2 linked regions of the Caenorhabditis elegans genome follow. The protein of the gene in region 1 interacts with the protein of each later gene in a pairwise test. Each region holds a gene or a part of one and is shown on either strand. Other genes may lie near its edges.

The links.
Region 2: the proteins of acl-4 (region 1) and efk-1 interact in a two-hybrid assay, tested with the Caenorhabditis elegans proteins (one large-scale study listed by BioGRID).

The regions. Positions count from the first base shown.
Region 1 is NC_003284.9:2,064,091-2,075,318, forward strand, and holds acl-4 (Phospholipid/glycerol acyltransferase domain-containing protein), read right to left. Parts: upstream 6,352-11,228; 5' UTR 6,307-6,351; coding exon 6,154-6,306; intron 5,883-6,153; coding exon 5,600-5,882; intron 5,499-5,599; coding exon 5,436-5,498; intron 5,302-5,435; exon of another isoform or gene 5,152-5,301; intron 4,663-5,151; coding exon 4,425-4,662; intron 4,341-4,424; coding exon 4,191-4,340; intron 4,117-4,190; coding exon 3,717-4,116; intron 3,663-3,716; coding exon 3,361-3,662; intron 3,290-3,360; coding exon 3,213-3,289; intron 3,125-3,212; coding exon of another isoform or gene 3,116-3,124; coding exon 3,026-3,115; intron 2,976-3,025; coding exon 2,878-2,975; 3' UTR 2,464-2,877; downstream 1-2,463. Other genes in the region: F49H12.7 (Exostosin domain-containing protein), read left to right, coding at 953-1,165, 1,410-1,466, 1,513-1,617, 2,377-2,454; txdc-12.2 (Thioredoxin domain-containing protein), read left to right, coding at 10,365-10,449, 10,507-10,620, 10,668-10,820, 10,869-10,996, 11,047-11,133.
Region 2 is NC_003281.10:6,161,503-6,172,410, reverse strand, and holds efk-1 (Eukaryotic elongation factor 2 kinase), read left to right. Parts: upstream 1-3,863; 5' UTR 3,864-3,880; coding exon 3,881-3,940; intron 3,941-4,026; coding exon 4,027-5,103; intron 5,104-5,156; coding exon 5,157-5,892; intron 5,893-5,946; coding exon 5,947-5,970; intron 5,971-6,115; coding exon 6,116-6,260; intron 6,261-6,857; coding exon 6,858-7,122; 3' UTR 7,123-7,505; downstream 7,506-10,908. Other genes in the region: F42A10.5 (Protein CDV3 homolog), read left to right, coding at 1-376, 478-609; F42A10.9 (Gamma-glutamylcyclotransferase family protein), read right to left, coding at 1,286-1,328, 1,619-1,758, 3,722-3,820, 7,512-7,608, 7,668-7,759; nfm-1 (FERM domain-containing protein), read right to left, coding at 8,797-9,012, 9,218-9,392, 9,504-9,774, 10,247-10,334, 10,436-10,585, 10,629-10,908. UniProt on the Caenorhabditis elegans protein: Phosphorylates elongation factor-2 (eEF-2) at two threonine residues that are conserved in all eukaryotes and are located within a GTP-binding domain. Calcium(2+)/calmodulin dependent activity.

The sequences.
Region 1 (11,228 bases):
AACTATTCATGTTTCTTATTGAGTGTAGTTTTTCAAACTCTGCATGATTTTGAAAAAAAAAAGTAATAGCCTCAAAAGTTTCTACTCTTCTCTCCCCAAATTTTTACCAAATTCAAAAAAAATTTATAAATTTCATCTGATTTTTTGAACATTGGAAAAGTCTCATTTTTGCTACTTTTTTTGAAGTCGTCGGTCAAAAAAAAATTCTCCCGAATTTCATGGCTCATTTATATTTCAATTATATATTTCAAAAACTGTAGGGTTCGAACAGTGCTACAAAAAGTGAAAAAAATTAGTAATTGACACTTGACTGCCAATAAAAAATTTTCAGAAATTTTTTGCTAGTTTTTCTATAATATTCGGCACCACATGAATAACTTTTAACAGTTTCTTCACTGGCGGTACTCCACCTTTCAACATTTTCGTACGTTTTCAGACGGTTTCAACTATTTTAAGTAGTTTTTGAGACAAATTTGTAATCGGCACTTTTTACGCGGCACTTCTATTTATAAAGTGGGAAACATTTTAGATAACCTGGAAAAATGTTTTCAGCCGGCATATTTTTTTAAAATGTGTAGATAATTGCTTTAATGCCATATAATGCTATGTAAGTATATTTTTTTTTAAAGTTCTTTGTTAAAATCCATAATTTGAAATGGAAAAAGCCCCGAAAAATAATTGTCCCATTGTTTTAGTTTTTATTCCCTTTTTTTCAGGTTTTTTAGAATCGAACCACGTGACGGATTATTTTTCTTTTGTGAAAAATTGAATGCCTCACTCTTCGTCATTTCAGTCTCGCACGACATCTTTTCAATTCAATTGATGTTTTGTTCTGGTTTTGGTAATACGTATACATTTCTTTTTTCTTCAATACGGAGCATTCAGCTATTTTTAAAAGAACTTTCATATTGAATTAGTGTAAAAACTTGTGATTTTTTTCAAATTTCAGCAGATGACAATTCCGGTTGCAAAACCATATCCCAGTGGAGAAGGTGTGGAATATCCCAGAAATATGTATTTTTTCGACAATGCAACTAACGATGAAATTGTGATTTTAGAGGAGCAGCAACATGATCCAAGAGTCATTCTGTTAGCTCAACTACGTAATTGTCTATTTGTACCTTATCGACAAACATTTAAAACAAACGTTCCAGAAGTAGTATATGTGAGTTTACCATCACTGGGGGAAGTATTTTCAAACGGCTACTATAGTGCTAAAATGTTCAAATATCATAGTGAAACTTTTCAAAAAAATTGTTTATATTTTTTTAATTACTGGCAATTCGGCAAAACTTTGACTGAAAATTTTGAAAAACCTAAAAACTTTTGAAGTGTTTTTTAGCATAAATACTCTATACCAATATGTTTAACAACAAATTAAAAAAAAAATAGACAACCTCTGTATTCAGAACGACTTCACTGATAGAAGTTCTCATTGGAAAGACTATGTAGACAAAGGAGGATGGGTGAGTTAAAGCAAGTTTGAACGCTTGAAATAAGTCTGAAATTTAGAAAAATATCAGAAAGTCACATCAACTTATTGCTAAATTGGTGGCAAATAGTATTGCACAAGAATATCATTTATTGGCAAAAATTGGAGAAGAACAAAAGTGCTCGGTAAGTTTTACGAAATTTGAATATTTACAAACACTATTTTTATTAGTGATTAGAAAAATACGGCAACCAAATTTTTCAAAACGTTTTTGAAAATAGTTAAACGTGATGCATTTATCAAAAAAAAAACTGATCAAATTAATTTTTGAAAAACTTTCATACATTTTTGGAAAATCACATAATTATGCACAGGTGGACAACAATTTTTCTCGGATTTTTCGATTTTTTTTTGGGCTGTCGAGAGCCGAGAGCCGTACAGTTTTGCTCCACTCTGAAACTTTATTTTTCTCTCTTAGAAACAAGTGAATAAATGATACATATAAAATCGAAATACAGCGCACACAGGTGCTAAAGAACCTACTCATTTTCATTAAAGGAGCTTGAACCATTTTTTAATTTTTCATGAAAAACAAGTAATGGTATCGGGTTCAGCACACCAAAAAACTTATGGACCTAGAAATTCATTCCGCTTCCCCATAAATTGGGTGCACATTAGCAAAAATATGAAACATCGACCGCTCAAATGCAATAGGACCCCCAACGATTTTCCGAAATTCGAGAAGTTTTCCGAAATTTCTAACACACAATCAAATAACATATTTTGAGTTTTAAAAAATCGAATACTGTTGCAAAAAATGAGATAAAAAATATTTAGGAAAATTTTAAAGCAGCTTTAAAAAAGCTTTAACTGCGAAGTTCAGAATTTATATTTTGCAGCACCGTATAAATTTATTATGCCTAATCAAATCAAACTCATTTCAGTTCGGCCTCGAGAACATTGCACTTCATCTTCGCGATGTCATCAGCATGGAAACGTTCTTCACGAGTCTTCTATTCTAACAAACTGCACAAAAAAGAGAACAATTTATTCAATTGTTATTTTCATAGTGTAATAAACAATCAAATGCAAAAACGGAATCGGCTGTAAATAACCCGTCAATAAATCAGTGACTACCTAATGTGGACTACAACGCACTTTCCTGAAAAATTAGACCTCGATAATTCTACACAAGACAAGACATTAGTGGGGGAGGGTGGGGGACAAAAACACGTGCTGTAGAATCAAAAATAAGAGCTGCTAGAGAGTTGTATAAAACGTAGACGTCAACGTCATCTGATTTGAAAAAGAAACAAACAAGTTATGGTTGATTTGACATGATACTAATGAGAGAATTGAAAACTCTTGATGTTATCCGTAAGAATGGAACCCTAAAATTATAAAATGATAATCATTTGTGTCTGTGGGAGGTGGTGGGGAGGTGATCAAGTTTTCACCAAAGAAACTGTATCGGAAAGAGGTTTGTTAGGAAGAATATTTGATTCGCCGGCAGGATCGTCATTTTCATTTTCATCGTGTGCATCTGAAATAAAAATTGAATCATTGAGAGGAATATTATTTGCAATTGCTCACCTATTGTTTCGTCTTCCTCCTCGTCGATAAAAACGTCTTCTGGCAAATCCTCAAGAGAATTGTATCCAGATACCGGCTTGTCTACCAAATCTGAAGAAGCTGATAAGATCATATTAAGTCTATTTCAATTTTTAAAAAAATTCAAAAACTTTAAAGGCAAAACTGAAAATTTAAAAAAAAAACCTACAATCAGAAGTAACATCTACATCTTCATCCTTGACAACTTCCGATACAGACGTATAGCGAGAAAGTCGATTGGCATATCTGAAATAAAAATTAATTTTTTTTTTTGGTTTAATTCTTAGTTATCTTATTTATTCTTATTTATAACAAACCGTTCTTGCTGCTTGGCCACCATTTTTGGCGGAACTTTTGCTCTCTTCAGTCCTCCATCCCATTCCAAATCGACCAGGCCACCTTTGTTGGCAATTTCTTTTTTCACGCGGTTCGCAAAGTCGACGGCATCCTCTCCATCTCGTCTTGTCATTGGCGGCAGGTACCAGACATTGCAAATAATGGCCCACGAAGTCATCATTCTCATGATATATCCGCACCACGATTGCTCTGAGCTGTTCCAGAACGCGTCTCCGAAACGTGAATCGTATTTCATTGCAATTGGGTAGATGGTTGTGCCAATCTGAAATGTTAACAGTTTATGAAAAAATCAATACCTATAATAAGTTCAACAAACCTCAAAAGATCCTTTCTTAAACATCATAACAGACGTGTTATTGATGCAGGTGCCTTCTGGGAAGATCAAAATTGGAAGTTTATCCGGATTGGTGCAATGTTCCTTCAATTTTTGAGCAACTACAAGACGATCCTTGGCTTCACTTCTCTCAAACCAAATATGACTTGAAGCTCGCGAAAGTGCTCTTTGTACAATACCCAAGAGTCCTTCGTGTTTCTGTCCGATCAATGCATATACATTGTCGATGGAAAGAATGAGAGCATCAATTGGAGAGGTGTGGTTTGCGACGCAGATTCCTTGTGCCTGCGCTTTATAGTGTTCATCGTGAAAGTATACCACAGCCGTGAGACTTCTTGAAAGGATTCGGTAGCAAATAAGCATACACTTGTGGTTGAGAGCTCTGAAAAGATACGTTTAGATATATAGATCTTTTTTCCGATTCAAATTTTGAATTTCGAGAAGAAATGCACATACTTTTTCCAGTTTCCAATTGGAACAAGACCAATGAGCGCTGTCGAACTGATCAAAAACACGAGACCGATGCAGAAAACAGTGAAGCGAAGTGGCAACATAACGCAGTAGCGGAACATGAACCCAAGAATCCATAGAGCACTCAACTTCCAGCTGAAATAGTGTTGTTCTTTGATCTTGCCTAATAGTATTACTACTATTATGTTAACATGTGCACTTTTTTGCTGATAAACTCACTTGACAAACTGATAAAATTTGATGCTGGTTCTGGTCAACATGTTCCAGCTCACCAACTGTTCCGCTTCGAACCGACTCGTCACCTCGTCCTCAATTATCGCCTCCATTCCAGCCTTCACAAAATCTACCGAATCACGAATTGCAGCCCATCCTCGACTTCTGACAAACACCTCATCAGGAATGTCTTCAGAAAAGTTATCGTCAAGGTAGATTTGTGTCTCTCGTTTGATGATTCCCACTGGAACAATTCAATGAAAAAACATGTATTTATAATTGGCATTTTTTGTGATTAATCGAATTACGTACTAATAGGCTAACTTCTACTGGAGGCACTAATGAGATCAGAAACTGGTAACTTCAAAAATTATTTTAAGTTTCAGAAATCGGTATAATATTTTCAAAAGTGATACAAATTAACTGAACCAAAGCAGTGAAATTGCAACCAAACATACAAATTATACCCACTTAAAATATAAAGCAGTATGAGAAATGTGGAGAAAGAAGAAAAAAAATCAGAAAAGGTACTACCACAACTCAAAACTTGATAAAATTTTATTTAGGAGTAGCGCCACTGAGGAAATTGTTAAAAACCAATTATACTGTGCCAAACGTACCAAATATCAAAGTAAAACTTTTCAGAATGTTTTTGAAAGGGTTTTTTTGCTTTAAAAAGTGGCAATTACATAGTTTTTGCCAATTTTTTGGAAGTCGTCAAATCTTGGAATTTTATGGAATATGTAGTTTTATTTCAAGTATTAATGTATTAATGTTTAAACATTGTAGGGGTTAGGACTTACGGCAGTGCTATAGTTTTCTCAAAAACTGTCAAAAGCCCAGTAATTGCCAGTTTTTGACTGTCAATAACAATTTTTAGTTCCAAAATTTTTGAAAAGTTTTACTATTATATTTGGTCATTTGGGCATCGTGAAAATAGTTTTTCACAGTTTCTCCACTGGCTCTACTCCACTTTCAACATATTTAAAACTACCCGATCAAATGATTACAACATACATGTGCTGCTTTCAGACATCTTTCTATTTCGGAGACTGCAGCATGATCCAACGGAGGCGAGACCTGAAATGAGATACCCAACCTGACAAAACAAAACGAGAAAATGGGGGTACATGCTTTATAAAGAAGCTAGCATGCTTTTCTGTTTTACTCTATCAACTCACTAGTAGTTGATCCAAACTTTCTCTTTAAACACGACTCGTCACCAAAGTCAGAGTCAACTGACGGAAAGTCTTCTCCAGAATCATGGCTTTCCGTTTCACTCCGAGCCTCAATTTCATCATCCGTGATTCCATCTGTGGCTTCAAAATGTGGAGTCTCCATACTTCTGATCTCATCTTCGTCGTCATCGGCTTCTTCGGAAAGCTTGTTGAGAAAAAATGGAGCGGTCAGAGCGCTCTCTTTCCTTCTAATCTTTTCGGTTGTTTTGATTTGGCGAGCACCCCACTGAAAAAGTAATATACTATATACTACTTATACATTACTCTAATATCAATTCGTTACAAGTCGGTGGTTTTTCTTTCCAACAACGTTGTTTTTCGTCACTGTTTTTTATCAATCTGGCCAGGCCATCAGACCATATTTGGGCGAAAGATAGAAGAAAAATGTCTGAACGCTGTTTGATAAGACAATAGATTTCGAGTTGTTCCCAAATAATTTATGATGAAGAAAAAAAGAAAACTTCTTGACCTTCAATCTCAGAAATAGAAATACAAACCTCGAATATGTTGATCAATGTGTCCACGTACATCTGCCGCAATCCAAGGGACTTTCCAAATGTTGCCAGAATGATGCATAGCAAGACGGTCAGTGCCACTGGTGGAAAGGCAAATGTAGTTAATACAAAGAGCAAATGCTCGATTCCGAGCATACTGCCAGTTGTTTTTCGTTTTGTATTCCTATTTTCGATTTGGTTCTGTAAAAAAATATAAAAAGTAAATCAAAATTCAGTAATAGAAAGTTTCAACACATTAAAGCGGAAAAGGAAATGGAGGCGGTCAGTTGAGATGACGGAATGTGTCAGTGAAAATAGAAACATTTTCTGCGATAAGTTACCGGAGCAATGAAGGTGAAGCACGCGGTGGGAAACCACCAGACTGTGCTGAAAATGTGTCAATCGGAGAAAAACTGCGTCGAACTAAAAGTGCAAAGCGACAAATATTTGAAAAAAAAACTAGGAGAGACTATCAAAATGTTTCGATTATAACCCAATGTACACGAGACAAAAAGTAAAAAAAAAAGATCACGGTAGTTCAGAGGAAATTACGTCATTTTGACGAAAAAAGATATGACAAAAAAAGAAAAGTTGGTCTCCAAGTGGGACGATTTGATTGCATTCAACAGTTGTTCTTTTCAGTGTAACTGGAGAACCATAAAATTGGTCTTTGAGGTGTCACTCGAGACCGGGAAAACATTAATAGAATAAGACAAAAAATGCCAGACCGAAACAGATATAATTTGTTGACTTGTTCGATTTGTTAATATTTTTTTTTGCAGATGGGGAAAAGAAGCCGCAGGGTGGGCAGAGAAATAACAAGAAAAGTGGAACGAAGGCAACGTGAACCCATTACTGCGAATGCGAACTAGTCATATTTGTACAATGAGATGGAGCGATGGAGCGCGATTGCTTGCTTTGATTGCACATTTTGGCAGTGGCCATGTTACTTTTTTTAAAGACGAATAGTTTTAATAGTTTTTAGCATTTGGTTTTCAAAAGAAAGTTACTAATTTTCATTCATTCAAAATTTCGAAATCAGTATCGGCTAATGCAACGTAAGTTTATTTTCAAGTTTTCAAAGTTATTTTCAAAATTTTTTAGCCTGACTAATCATCACGATTTTCAAAAGAATATAAGATTTTTCCTTATGATTTTAGATTTTTAACAAAAAATTCCGTTTGTTAGTAGCAAGATAAAACAAAACAAAATACAAGAAAAAAACAAAAAACGACTCAAGGGCAAGTGGTCGATTTCACAATGACAGTGCGAGGAAAGCGAGTGACACGTGACTTGAGGTCACCCCGCCTCGGTTTACTCATGCGATGGATGCGCGGGTGAGCAGCTGCGGTCCGCAATATGTCGTCTTATGCGGTGTTTGCACCGAACTGCGCAGTAATTGTTTGCCGGCGGACTATGACGAAACACGTTGCGAACGTGGCGTTTTAGTGAAAAGTGGGCAATGATTGAGGATTCAGGATAAGGAACTGGAAAAGAATAAAGAATAATTGGGTCTGCATTTATTATCTAATGAAGTGAAGAGATAATATTGTTGACAGAACTTGTCACGGTTATCAGTTTCGCGGATTCTCCCATTCGTTCTGTGGTGTCTTATGCAAATAAACAAATTTTTGGGGGGTGTTCTCTCCTGAAAGTTTCGTTGAAACGGTTTTAAATGACTAGATGTTCAGTTGTTAAGGGAGTTCACTTGCAAATTTCAAAGGTGGAAAATGTCAAATAGACATTTGGGCAACCCTAAAATCTTTAAAATATAAAACTTAGGATAACAAAATGTTTATTTTGCTGGACTTAAAACGAACCTGAAGAATCGAATTTTATAACGAGATTTCACGAAAATTTCGAAAAGGCAGTAGGTTTTAGGTAAAGTTATCTTTAATTTCTCTGTGTTTTGCGGTCGGAAATATTCAAAAATTGTTTTATGATGCATATTTGGTTTGTTTGTAAAAGTTGAAAATTTTGGAGATTTAGCTGAAATTGGGCACGTTCCAACTAAACACCATTGGAATTAATGCAATTATATGGTTTGTTACTCTATGAGAAACTTGTTTTTATTCAATATTGACGATAAGGATCTTTGGTGGCTTTTCAAATAGTTTAACCCTGGACTTTGAGATTAAAAAGTGGATGCACCAGGTGTCCAACTTCCCGTATCTCTTCACTCGGTGGTTTCCATCTTTTGTGACAACACTTGACACCGGAAGTCACTCAAAACCTGATTGCACACCTTTCAAAACAAAGGTGGTGTGAAAAAAAAATGGTTTTCTGATTTTGTGATTTACTTTTTTTCCATTTTTTCTCTTTTTGAAGAATTTCCTAATGTCTTTACGTTTCTCTCTTGTTAGTTTTTTGCCGTGTCCCAGTTTTCATGATTGTTTTCGATTGAAAAAAAAGTAGCGAGAAAATCTCTTTCCGTTCTTCGGAAAAATGAAGATATGCAAGAATCGGTTTTCAAAAGTGACAATTGAGATATTCTCCTCACCTGGTACAGCCAAAGAGAGAACGCTGCAGTGTTTGCTCAGCAACGTATTGTGCTGAGTTGTGCACCCCGAAGAATGGTCAACACAGATTGTCGCCAAATTAAACTTCTTTTCAAATTTTCAATGATAACGACTTACTAAAATTTTTGGAGCACGAATTTTTAAGTAGTTTTGACAATAAAAACTTGTTGCCTATTCGAAGCACATCAAAGAGCAATCAATCTGTGATCTTTATGTAGGCGTAAAAAACTAAAGGTTTCATGGGAGACTGAGGTTTACAAATTTTTTACTAGAGGTTTTTGAAATGCATGAAATTTCAAAACTTTTGGTACCGATTTTTGCCATAGTGTATTCCCTCATAAAATATGATAAAAGCTCGATAATGAGAAAAAAATAAAAAATTTGGAGGCAAAATCCAAGTAAATAAACGGCTGCTTTACGACATTCAAACGATTTGATATTGAAGAAAATGCCTCCGTGTTTTTATTTTATTCTTTGTTTACTTGACACAGGTAGCTAATTTTTTCGTTTCAAGATTATTTTGGTGATTCTTTATTATATTTTAATTTTCCAGCTGAAATGTCTGATTGTCATATTAAAACTTTTTAAAACAATGAAAACTCACTGTCCACCTACACAGCATAATTTCGAAAGTTGACCAAAAAAAAGTTTTTTCTACAAATTGTATTTTTAAACTGCATTTAAAATGTTTACATTTGAAGGTTTTAAATGCTCAAACCTGCAAAAATGCTCAAGTTTGGCAATTTACTAAAACTTAGGCTGAAATTATTGAAAACTCTAAAGCTTTTTTGTCAGTGAAGTATCGTTTCACTGACGTTACTTCACTGACAATAACCTTAAGTTTTCCAAATGGTACATAAATTTGATACTTGCGTTGCAAAGTTTTCACAATTGACGTGGGAGTCAATCTTAGGTTTATTAGAAAATTGGGTACTTATGGGTTTCGTTCCCCCCAAAATGTTTTTATTTCTAAAATTTCATTTTCTAATTTTCAAATTAAAAACGTGAACAAAAGTACGAAACAAAGCATTCATTTCTACAAATCGTTTCAAAACGTTCCCCTTTTTGTGGTTAATTGAAACTTAGAAAATTAAGATATTTTGGGGGGAACGAAACCCATAAGTACCGAAAATTGATAAACATGTATATAGTTAGTTTGCTCATTGTATCTATTCTACACATTTGTTTTCAAGCTCTCAATAGTTTTCTGTTATCAGAATATCTCATAGCAAACCTAACAGCAATAACATAATTCGACTACTACCGCATTCAATAATTTACAATTTTGTTGTGCGGTGATTTATTGGGCATGATATATTGCCTTGCTATATATTTTTCAACGTTTCCTTTAAAAGTCAAAGCAGTAATCATTATTCGTAATATGTTGATTACATGCATAACTGACCACGTCGCACACATTCACATTATCCCTGACACTCCCTAGTATCAACACACTCTAATCTAGATCGTTTCATTATTGGAAAGAAAGGAGAAGAAGAACATCCTCCACGCTGGAAGGTGGGAAGAGTGACCTCCACAGGTCTTCTCTTCTCCCGACCCACTTCTCTTTTCTCTTCTCAGAAACTTCCTACTTCCATGCATCTCCGTTGTTATTCTTGTTATTCGTTTTATATTTTTGGCTTTGATGTGATTGTCTTACCTATTTCCTTTATTTACAAAGACTATTTTCAGACTATGAAGCTTCTACTTCTCTCCCTGCTGGCAGTAGCAGTTCTTGCCAAGAAAGAGTCAAAGGAAGAAATCAAAGATTTATCCCATGGTATGAACATAATTTTTTATTTGTTTTGAATTGTGTGAATAAGCCAGAATGTTACAGGATATCCAAGTGCTATCGAATGGGTTGAGTTTGACAAAGCTATTGGAATCGCGAAGGACTTGAATAAACCAATCTTCTTCCTCATTCACAAGACCTGGTGTGGAGCTTGCAAATGTGAGGAAGCTTTCACAAGGCCCCAATCATCTTATCACTTATTTCAGCTCTCAAGCGCGAACTTAAAAGTTCACCAAAAACCGATGAGCTTATCATTCTCTCTCGTAAATTTGTCATGGTGAACGTAGAAGATGATGAGGAGCCAGAGGATCCAAAATACTCACCAGATGGAGGATACATTCCAAGAATTTTATTCCTTGGTAAGGAGAAAACCGAAATATGTAAGAGTGTAACAAATTGTTTTACAGACACCGACGGAAACCCATTGAAGACTAACAACGAGCGCAAGTATAAGAATAACAAGTACTTCTACCCACTCCCAGCTCAAATTATCGACGGAATGGAGAGAGCTCTTTTGGAGTTTGGAACTGATGAGGTAGGACAATAAATAAAAAAAGATAAAAGGATAAAAGAAAAATTTTGCAGGAACCAGCCAAGGGTGAGGTCAAATCTGAGAAGAAGGAAGAGAAGAAGGAAGAGGCAAAGAAAGAAGAGAAGAAAGTAGAGAAGAAGGTAATTCTGGTGATCATGAAAAGAATCTAATGAGATAGAGCAGATAGATAATACTTGTAAACACTTTCAATGAGGGACAAATTGACACGAGTCAC
Region 2 (10,908 bases), on another chromosome or scaffold:
TGAGACAAAGACTTGGGGACAAGTTAGCAGTGAAAAGAAAGCGACGGAGGAGCCGGAACAAGCTGTGACGATCAGTGACAAAGCAATGGCTGCCGCTTACAAGCCACCTGCAATGAGAAGACCAGGAGCTCCGTACAGACCAAGAGCTGCTGCTGCAAATCTGGATATGGGTAGTGACGCTGCCTTCCCATCATTAGCGGATGCAAGCAAAATTGAGAAGAATAAGAAAGAGGAGAGCAAATCACCAGGAGGTTGGGTAAAAGCTGGATCCGGTGGAGCTTGGCCAGGAAGTTCGGGCCCATCTTCAAGTGGGTCTTCAAGATCGTATCCGACAACTGCTGGAAGTGGACGTGATAGTGCTCTTGCAGCTCTCAAGGTATGTGTCAAGGAAAAATAATTACTCTAAGTTTTCAAGGTTTTAAAACTATCAAAAATCATTTTTATTATTCTTGAAAATGTCTAAATTCAACGTTTCAGATGATGAGCGCCGCCAATCCAGCTCCAGCGCGTAACGAGCCAGCACCAGCCCCTGCAGCTGCTGCTCCAGCATCTTCGGGAGCTGCCAAGGCTGGATCGTACGTTCCTCCACATTTGAGGAAAAATCAATAATAGGCCCAACTATTTTCTTATTCTTCTGTTTTCTGTGTTCCCATTTCCTTATTCATTGTTTTTCTTTATTCTATAATATCCTTTTTTTGGTTAGTATTCTCATAATTTAGTACATTATTAATTTCGTCCCTATCAACTTGTTATGTCCCAAATTTCTCTTATCATTTCGTGCTTAAACGCACTTCACTCTTTATTGTTGCTCTACCAATTCTTGAACGACCCACAATACCCCGTGAAATTTATAGGGTAGTTGACAGCGGACGGTGTGGTTTGAGAATTCACGTGAATCGAATTTTGGTATCTTTTTTCGAAATCTTATGCATTTCGAAGGTCGTCTCCTATTTTCGGTGTCACGCCAAAAATCTCAAATCCGCCTGTTTCGCGTGTCGTCGGTTACGGTTTCAACGAAAGAAAGTTTCAAAATGTTTTCCCCATGAGCACTTTGCTCTTTTTCTACTTGTGCTATTTATACAAGTGCTCTATCATATTCTCTTTGCCCAATTCCCTTTCGGATTCAATCATGGTGTCTTTTTCTTTCGTTTCCCTTTTTTCTTTTTCATATAAACGTTTATACATTCCCAATGTGCTCGTCTTTGTTATCTTGCATGTGTGTTTTCAATCCCAGATTATTATTCATTTATTCAAATTATAACGATGAGGAACTGTTACTCGGTGATCACATTGCTTCGTACATTTCATTCTCGTTGGTTAGGTTCTCGCTGCAAAAAAAATTAAATGTAGGTTCATTGAATAGTTATTTGTAAATTTCCCCACTTTTCAAATCGAACTCGGCTTTTCTCTGAGCCAACTCGATGTAGATCAGGTTCTCAGCGCCCAAAATATCATGATAGAGGTTCGAACTGCCGTCGAGATCGTCAAGCATCTCTTTTGCGCGCACGTATCTGAAAATTCCAGTCGTGCGCGTAATTTTTCAATAAATCACTGGAATTTGTTTTTCAAAGAAATATTTAATTTAACTCTAGTTTTAAAAGGCACATTTTTCTCTTACCTGTCCACATAAGGTCTACCATGAGCTCCGAGGCTTGAGTAGTTGGTCATCATTTCGGATGACGTGGAAAGTAGATCTGGGCGCCAGCTTTTCAGCAGATAGATAAACGCAGTCTCAGTAGTGCCAGACGGAAGTTTGATCTGAAATTTTCATGTTTTTGAATGAGAAATTCCCCATTTTCAGATATGTTTTGTAAGTTGGTATTGTTATGATTCAACAATGAAAAATAAAACAAACGGTCGAAGACGTTTACATTTTTTTTTGAAAATTTCGTGTCTACTTTCTACAGTAACCCGCGCTGTCTGAATGAGCTCATTCATATTATCTATTCCATAAATATCCTAAATCAATAATTATAGGTTCCTTCATATACACTTTATTTTAACTTCCTCTATATTTTTCAGCCAAAAAAAACACCAAGTGGTCCCAACCATTCATCCATCCAAGTCAAATGTGCACACCCATCTCTTTTCGGTTTACACTCTGTCTGTTTCTCTAAATCTCTCATTCTTCATCATTGTCTCTCCTTCTTCTCCTTTCTCCATTCTTCTGGGTGCCTCTAGGCCTTTCTCGATTTTCCATTTCTTCACGTAGTTTTCTCCCAGTTTTTCCGTCGGTCTTTTTTCAACTTCAGAGAGTCTACTGATTCCTGTTTCTATTTTAAAGTGCTAGTGATAAATGTCTGAGAGATATTGGTCACATTTGACCTATTACATTCGGCTCGGTCAGATTGAAGTTTCAAGGAAATCAGAATATTTCATTTTTATATTCCAAGAATCTACTCAACCAGATGATTTATTATGTTCATTAAAAATAATAGGATTGGTTTCTCATTGATATATTATTCACCATCTGCCCTTTTTATCAAATCACAAAAAATCATTTTTATCTTTAATGTCTAACTGTAAGTACAAAAACGTGCAAAACTGAAAAACTTAAAATTGAAAGTAATTTTCGATTTTTTGTTCTTTTGATTTTTTAATCTTTGATCTTGAAAATTTTCCTCGACGTTTCTCGAATGTTCCTTCAAAAAATATTACCCATTATAATTTATGAGCTTTTTTCTTTCTCTATTTATTCCTATCGGGCCCGATATCGGGGAGGATTTTAGATTTTTTAAAAAATAATTTTATAGAACTTTTGAAGATACCTCTAAATGCCTACAATACTTACAAAATATGAAATAGTTTTTGTTTCTTTTCAAAATGCATAATCTCATTTATAAAAATGATTTATAAAACACAATTTACGGACTTTAATCCAAAATCGTATGTTTTCCATTGAAAAAGATAATATCTTCCGAATCTGGTTCTCGATCCTCGTAATTCTCTATTTACCCAACTCTTCTCTACACACAAATCACTGGATTATAGACTAAAAACCTAAAAATGCTCGAAATAGAAAACTTCTGCAGTTTGAATCTTAAAATTGTTCTAAAAGTGAATACGAATTTCATAAATCTCAATTATCAATTATCAGAAACAAATATTCAGAAAATAATTGGAAAACCTTTAATAATTTTCAATTATTACTTCTAATGGTCGTTTCAGAATGTTATTTTTAAAAATCGATTTCTTTTCACTGAGATCAAATTTACTTTTGGATCCATTTTTTACGAATGCATAATAAACATATTGTTATTACATCCAAAAATTTCCATAAAAAGCTCTCAGCTGACCAGCACGTGACGCATCTCGATGGAACAGAAATCAAACTGTTTATATGTTTGTTTGCTTCTCTTTTCTCTATCATCTGCTTTCAAGTATTCTTTCATTCGACACGTTCTCCCCCCGTTGTCGCTTTAATTCATGCTCGTTTTTTGTTGGGTGTGATTAGATGAGTAGTGTCTGGGCCTGACATAGAAAACAAGACCTTTGACTTGCCTTGAGTTCTGATACGATACCTGGTCTCAACGCGACCAAAAAATTTCAGCGCAAACAAGAGAGTGCGCCTTTAAAAAGTACGGTAGTTCTCCACGTCCAGTTTTTCCCAATTTCATAGATTTTACACTTTAAATCTTTTTCGCAACTAGGTAATATCGTTTTTTAAGAATAAAAACATCTACAGTAGGAAATCAAACAGAACCTTTTTTATCTGACTTACCTCAACTTTCTTTCTATCGTACAATGTTGGGTAGGCTTCCAACTCATCGAGCACCTTCAATTTCTTCTCGCAAACTTCATACATTTCTCCTTCAATGTTCTGAAAAAATTTGGATTAATTATTTACAAAATAGTTGTTTCAGTAGTCAAACTGGGCAAAATGACGATCGACACAACAAATGAGAGCGACAATAGTCCAACTAACTCACCAGGATTGGAGGTGGGATTTTTGAAAACAATTCTTTAACAAAATTAAATTTATTTAATTAAAATTCAATTAAACAAACTACAATTTTTACTTTCAAGGCCTCGGCTCGGACATTCTCGCTCAATGCGTCAAAAATGGTTCGGATAACCGACGACTACGCAGATGAAGTGTTCATTGAACAGAATGATGTCGTTATCGAGAAGCCTCGTATGGATCCTCTCCACGTTAGAAAACTTATGGAGACATGGCGCAAGGCTGCTCGCCGAGCAAGAACAAACTATATAGATCCATGGGATGAGTTCAACATCCACGAGTATCCAGTACAACGAGCTAAACGATATAGGTATTCTGCAATCAGAAAGCAATGGACAGAGGATATAGTCGATGTGAGACTTCATCCGGACAGTTTTGCACGTGGAGCCATGCGAGAATGCTACCGACTCAAAAAGTGCTCCAAGCACGGAACAAGTCAAGATTGGAGCAGCAACTATGTCGCAAAAAGATACATTTGTCAAGTCGATCGTAGAGTTCTTTTCGATGATGTCAGACTTCAGATGGATGCCAAATTATGGGCTGAAGAATATAATCGGTATAATCCACCGAAGAAAATTGATATTGTTCAAATGTGTGTCATTGAGATGATTGATGTAAAAGGTTCTCCACTCTATCATTTGGAGCATTTCATCGAGGGAAAATATATAAAATACAATTCAAACTCAGGATTTGTATCAAATGCAGCTCGTCTTACACCACAAGCATTTTCTCACTTCACCTTCGAACGTTCTGGTCATCAAATGATGGTTGTCGATATTCAAGGAGTTGGTGATCTTTACACAGATCCTCAGATTCATACAGTTGTGGGAACTGATTATGGAGATGGAAACCTCGGAACTCGTGGAATGGCTCTTTTCTTCCATTCACACAGATGTAACGATATTTGTGAGACAATGGATCTATCAAATTTCGAACTTTCGCCACCTGAAATCGAGGCTACCGAAGTTGCGATGGAAGTAGCTGCAAAGCAGAAAAAGTCATGCATAGTTCCTCCAACTGTGTTCGAAGCAAGAAGAAATCGAATTTCAAGTGAATGTGTACATGTCGAGCATGGTATTTCGATGGATCAATTGAGAAAAAGGAAGACGTTGAATCAATCGTCAACCGATTTGTCAGCAAAGGTGAAAGAAACATTTAAAAAAGTTCTAACGTATTCTATTTTTATATTTTTCAGAGTCACAACGAAGACTGTGTATGTCCTGAGTGTATTCCAGTTGTTGAGCAACTCTGTGAGCCTTGCTCCGAAGATGAAGAGGACGAAGAAGAAGACTATCCAAGAAGTGAAAAAAGTGGAAATAGTCAGAAAAGTCGACGTAGTAGAATGAGCATTTCAACGAGATCTTCTGGCGATGAATCAGCATCTCGTCCTAGAAAATGCGGATTTGTAGATTTAAACTCACTTCGTCAGAGACATGATAGCTTCAGAAGTTCTGTTGGGACATATTCTATGAATAGTTCTAGACAAACCAGAGACACTGAAAAGGATGAATTCTGGAAGGTTCTTCGAAAACAATCAGTTCCAGCAAACATTCTATCACTTCAACTTCAACAAATGGCTGCTAACCTGGAAAATGATGAAGACGTACCACAAGTCACCGGGCATCAGTTCTCTGTCCTCGGTCAGATTCATATTGATCTCTCACGATATCATGAGCTCGGGCGGTTCGTAGAAGTTGATTCAGAACATAAGGAAATGCTTGAGGGAAGTGAAAATGACGCTCGTGTACCAATCAAATACGACAAGCAGTCTGCAATTTTCCATTTGGATATCGCTCGGAAGTGTGGAATCCTTGAGGCTGTGCTAACATCGGCTCATATTGTTCTCGGATTACCACATGAATTGTTGAAAGAAGTCACCGTTGATGATCTGTTTCCTAATGGGTTTGGAGAACAGGAAAATGGAATTCGAGGTGAGCTTTTTTTGTTAATTTTTCTCTTTTAAATCTGAAATTCCAACTTTTCAGCTGATAAAGGACAAAAACCTTGTGGTAAGAATCAAGTTTTCTCGTGTGTGCTTTTTAAAAATTATTTTGTGATTTCCCAATTTAACCTTTCGTGTTGTTTCCTTTTTTGAAAGATTCAATCCTAGTGTTCTCAGCATCCCGTATTTTATCAAAATTCAAAAATTTTCAGACCTAGAAGAGTTCGGCTCCGATCTGATGGAAATTGCTGCAGAGATGGGTGATAAGGGTGCAATGCTGTACATGGCACACGCTTATGAAACTGGTCAGCATCTCGGACCGAATCGAAGAACGGATTATAAGAAATCGATTGATTGGTAAGAAATTTATGAGATTCTAGTGAAGATACAGTAACCCGACTTTATAGAGAATACTTTTAAGAAACCTAAAAAAGCTAAAATGTTTGATGCTATAGCTTCTAATTTTTTTTAATTGAAAATTTTTTCGAATAGCCGGAAAATTGAAAATCGAAAAAAAAGATTTAGAATGTAATTAACAGATTTGAAATTTCATCAAACTTTGTTTGTTTCGATGGAAATTTTTTTTCTTCTAAATAAAAATTTCAATTTACGAAAAAAAAAATCAAAAAACGAAGATTTTCGATTTTTTGAAATTTGAATTTTTGAACATTTAGGAAATTTGGAAATTGAAATTGAAATTTTTTAATCGAAAATTTTTTAAAATTCGAATAGAAGTACCCGTCTCTGATTCATTTTTTATAAGAAAAATTGTGAAAAACCAGAAAAACTAGGAACCTTCAAAAAATATGTTCAGAAAAAACTAAATCTACTTGTTGTATTTTTCAAAAAGAAAATCATATATGACCTATTTGCGATTTTTATTCTGGACTTCTTGGATGATTTTGTTCCTTAACATTTTTTCTATAAACTTGAGAAATATTCTAAATTTTGTAGGTATCAACGCGTCGTTGGATTCCAAGAAGAAGAAGAACTTGACTCTGATTGTGGAAAAACGACATTCTCCTCATTTGCTCCACTGACTCGTCACGAGATTCTAGCCAAAATGGCTGAAATGTACAAAGAGGGAGGTTATGGCCTGAATCAAGACTTCGAACGAGCATATGGTCTATTCAATGAAGCTGCTGAAGCAGCAATGGAAGCAATGAATGGAAAGCTCGCAAATAAATACTATGAAAAAGCGGAAATGTGTGGAGAATGATTCTTGAATTCCCCTTTCTTCAATCCTCAATGTATATCCTTTTTTCTGGTATAATGTACATTATTGTTTGTTTTTTTTTTCATATTAGTTAGTATCCCCATCCCCTACAATTTTTAGTTTCCCCCTGTCACAGTCCCCGGATTCAAGGAAAGAAAAAAATTTCAAAGATTTTGAATACCAAAAAAATTTCGGATCTAAACAAGTTTTTGGCATTTATACTCCCTTTAAACCGTGCGCATAATCATTTTTCTGTTTCTTTCTTTAAAATTTCCTTATTCATCTTTGTTTCCCTGCCAAAGCTGATTCCGTTCTCGTTCTTTTTTTTTAATTACTTGTCAATATGCTTCAAAGTACGTCGGTTTAAATAAACTTCAGGTTGTAAAACTCACATTTCCATTCCCAGCATCATCAAGCAAAAATGGAATGTTATATTTGGTTCCAACTACCAATGGGAACTTTTCCACTGTAGTTCCAGATGAGATGAATCTGAAAGAAGTAATGCATCACATTTGACACTCAAAATTCTTCAGTACTCCCGAACTTACCGATATTCTCCGTCAGTTTCTGACAGAACCTTGTAGTTTGGCTCTCCTGTTTTCAGGGTTCCATACACGAAAACCTTGAATTTTTCGCCCATTTTTGCTGGAAATGAATTAATAAATTACAGATTTTTTCATTATTTTAAGTTAATAAAAAAACATTTAAAAAAAATCTGTATTCATCAATCATTCGATATGTATATTTACACAATATGCCTTTCGGAAAAAAGAAGAAAAATACGCGTTTTTGTCTTGCCACGAAAGATTATTGATTGAAAAATGGCAAAAGGGTGTGGAAAAATCAATAAACTGAATGAGCACAAAATGGGGTTATCTCTTATCGGGATGGGGAAAAACTGAAGAAAAAAAAGGAAAATCGGTTCATAAATGGCCATAAAGTTTCTTATCACATTCCATCAAAAGCTTGTGCTCGTTGTCGTGGAGTTCCTCGCATACTCTGAAATTATAAGAAAATTATAATTGGAAAATGAGAAGAATAATCAATCAATACCACACTAATGTTCATTTCAAAATTTGAAAAATCACAACAAAATACACCGACGGACAGGTTTGTGAAATTCAAAGATATAGTTTCACTAAAAAATGTGTGATTTTTTGAATCAATTAATAAAATTAATAAAGTCTTAGCGCGAGCGAAACTTTTCAGATACCGTACCCTGGGTTTTGCTTTTTCTTGTTTCTTTCTATTTTTAAAAATTTTTCGAGTTTTTGTTGTGAAAATCTTATTTTCCCTGAATAGGTTTACTACAAAAACATAAAAACTCAAGAAAAAGAATTTCCAAATAAACGATGGAACGTCTACTATTGGATACTGTAGCGGAAAAAATAATCTCGTGTCAGTACCCGACGTAACGATTGCGCTCTAAGAAATATTTTTCGCGCTGCGTTCATTGTTGCGATTCCTGATTTTTAAATTTTAAGTCAAAAAAAAACAATTACAGTGTGCATATTATTGAATTTATTCATAGAGCGCTTGAACCATGAATGTTTATTTTCAACTCTAACAAAAATACCAATCAACAAGTGTTAGAAAACAATAATTGGAAAATTAGTCAATATGCAAACACGCTCTACCACACAACAATCAAACTCTGGCACTATTTTCTCACTATATTCAAATGTCAGCTTCCTGCCATTCAGTGTTTCCCAAATCATAAGACTGCTGTCTATGCAGCATCATGACGTGGCTCAGAATACTTGACGAGCTCGTAGTGGATACTGTAGAGACACGTGGAATCCCTCGTCCCGCCACATGTCTAGCGACAGTATTGAGCTCCAAGGAATCGGAGGAACCCGATGAGCCAATTGAGCTTGCGCTTTTTGATTTTTTCTGGAGATATTCCGAAGTTAAGCGTCAAACTTACAAATGCCAAACGCGCGAAATTTTAATAAATTAGAAGCTTAACATATAATAGAATAGGATGAAAAAGAGATTTAATAACTTTTTGAACTTTTGACCTTCTGATCATGAGATCAGCTTAGTAACCGTTCAGAACGGTAGCATGCTAACAGAACTTGCTAAATTATCTACTTACCATTCTCATCGTCGTGAACTTATCAAAACCGTGTGCCACATTTTGTGCATGAACCGCATCATGCTCTCGATGCTGCCCATTTTGTACATTACCGTCTCGTTTCAGGCCGTCAATATCGCCACGTAATTCTTCCAGGTGCTCCTTGAAGATTCGCGCTCGTGTTTCGTATTCTGACCTGAAAAAATTTCTAATGTCACATACTATTCTCTATTAGGATTGTACCTCCATTGCTCAACTCTGCTAGCATATAATTCAGTTATCCTTTTTTTTTAATTACCAAACTAACCTTGATTTTTCCAACTCCATCAGAGTAGTCTGTTGCTCGAAAATCTGACTAATTGAAGGATCGGGTGGTGGAATAATCATACCAGATCCTCCGTAATATGGCGGTTGATTCTGATTTTGAACTTGAGTTTGTTGTTGATGAGCTTGAGTATTTTGAGACATTTGTTGTGGTTGTTGATGAGAAAGTGGTTGATTTGAAGGAATTGGGGAGGAAAATGCAGATGATGGCATATTCAGACTTCGAGACATCATTTGTTGAGGATGAGTGTGTGCTGAAAATGTTGTTTCCGTATAAATATAATCATATTTTTCTTATTTCTTATTTCTAACAAGACGTGGATTGGTCAAAAACAGTAGCAACTTGGCTTGCGATTTCATTCCCAAATTGGCATTACAAACAATAAATTAGTTTACAACTAGACACATTCTCATTTGAAGATCTTGAATTTATAATATCATTACCAAAATATTTTTTAGTGTTCTCTTTTTTGAGGCAACTTTGCAAATACCTGGCTGTGAGAAAATGTTGAAGTTACATAATCAAAAAAAAATTCGATAAACTGATTAGGGGGTCGGTTTTTATTATGTGATCTAGACTTTTTTGACTCGGCAAACTTTTATTCTTAACTTTTAAACATAGTTTTACGCCCATTGCCAAAATTATCATGCAAAAGTTGCTATAGATATTATACTTCTATACTATTTTGGAATAGACTTTTTTATTGTGCCTTTAAAAAAACTAACTGTCAAGTGATTGCAGTTGATGAAATGATCCTGTTGATGGCATACCAGGATGACCTGATTGATGACCAGATACTTGTTGATGCCAATTCTGAAAGTTTCTAAACCGTATTAATCGAGTATATCCTCTATCAATCCCATTACGGTTTTGTCAAGATTTACTCAAAATGGGAAGATTTTCCATTAACTTACCGGATCAATAATCAACGCAGACTGACTCGAATACTGTGTCATTTTCCGATTCGCGTCAAGGCTTACATCTGCTAGTGACATTGACATCTGCTTTGCCAAAATCTCAGCTTCCCGAGCTTTTCGTTCCATTCTCAACAGAGCTTCTTCGGACTGAAAATTAAACTTTAATTTCATAATTAATTTGATTTTTTACCTTCATATTATTCATACTTAATCGATTACATTCAGCTTCAACTTCACTTTTTTGCTTGTACAACATCAAAGTTTCATGTTCACTGTGTCGTGCCTTCTCTGCTAATTGATCATTCGCTTCTTCTGCCTTTCGTATATTTTCTTGAGCTTTCATTAATTCCAAAGTCATCACTTCAACTTTTTGTTTCATTTCCTTATATTCTTTTTCCATTTGCTGCCTCTCTTTTCGTTCCAATGCAACTTTTGCTTGTTCTGCTGCTCGACGTTGCTTGTCTTCTTTT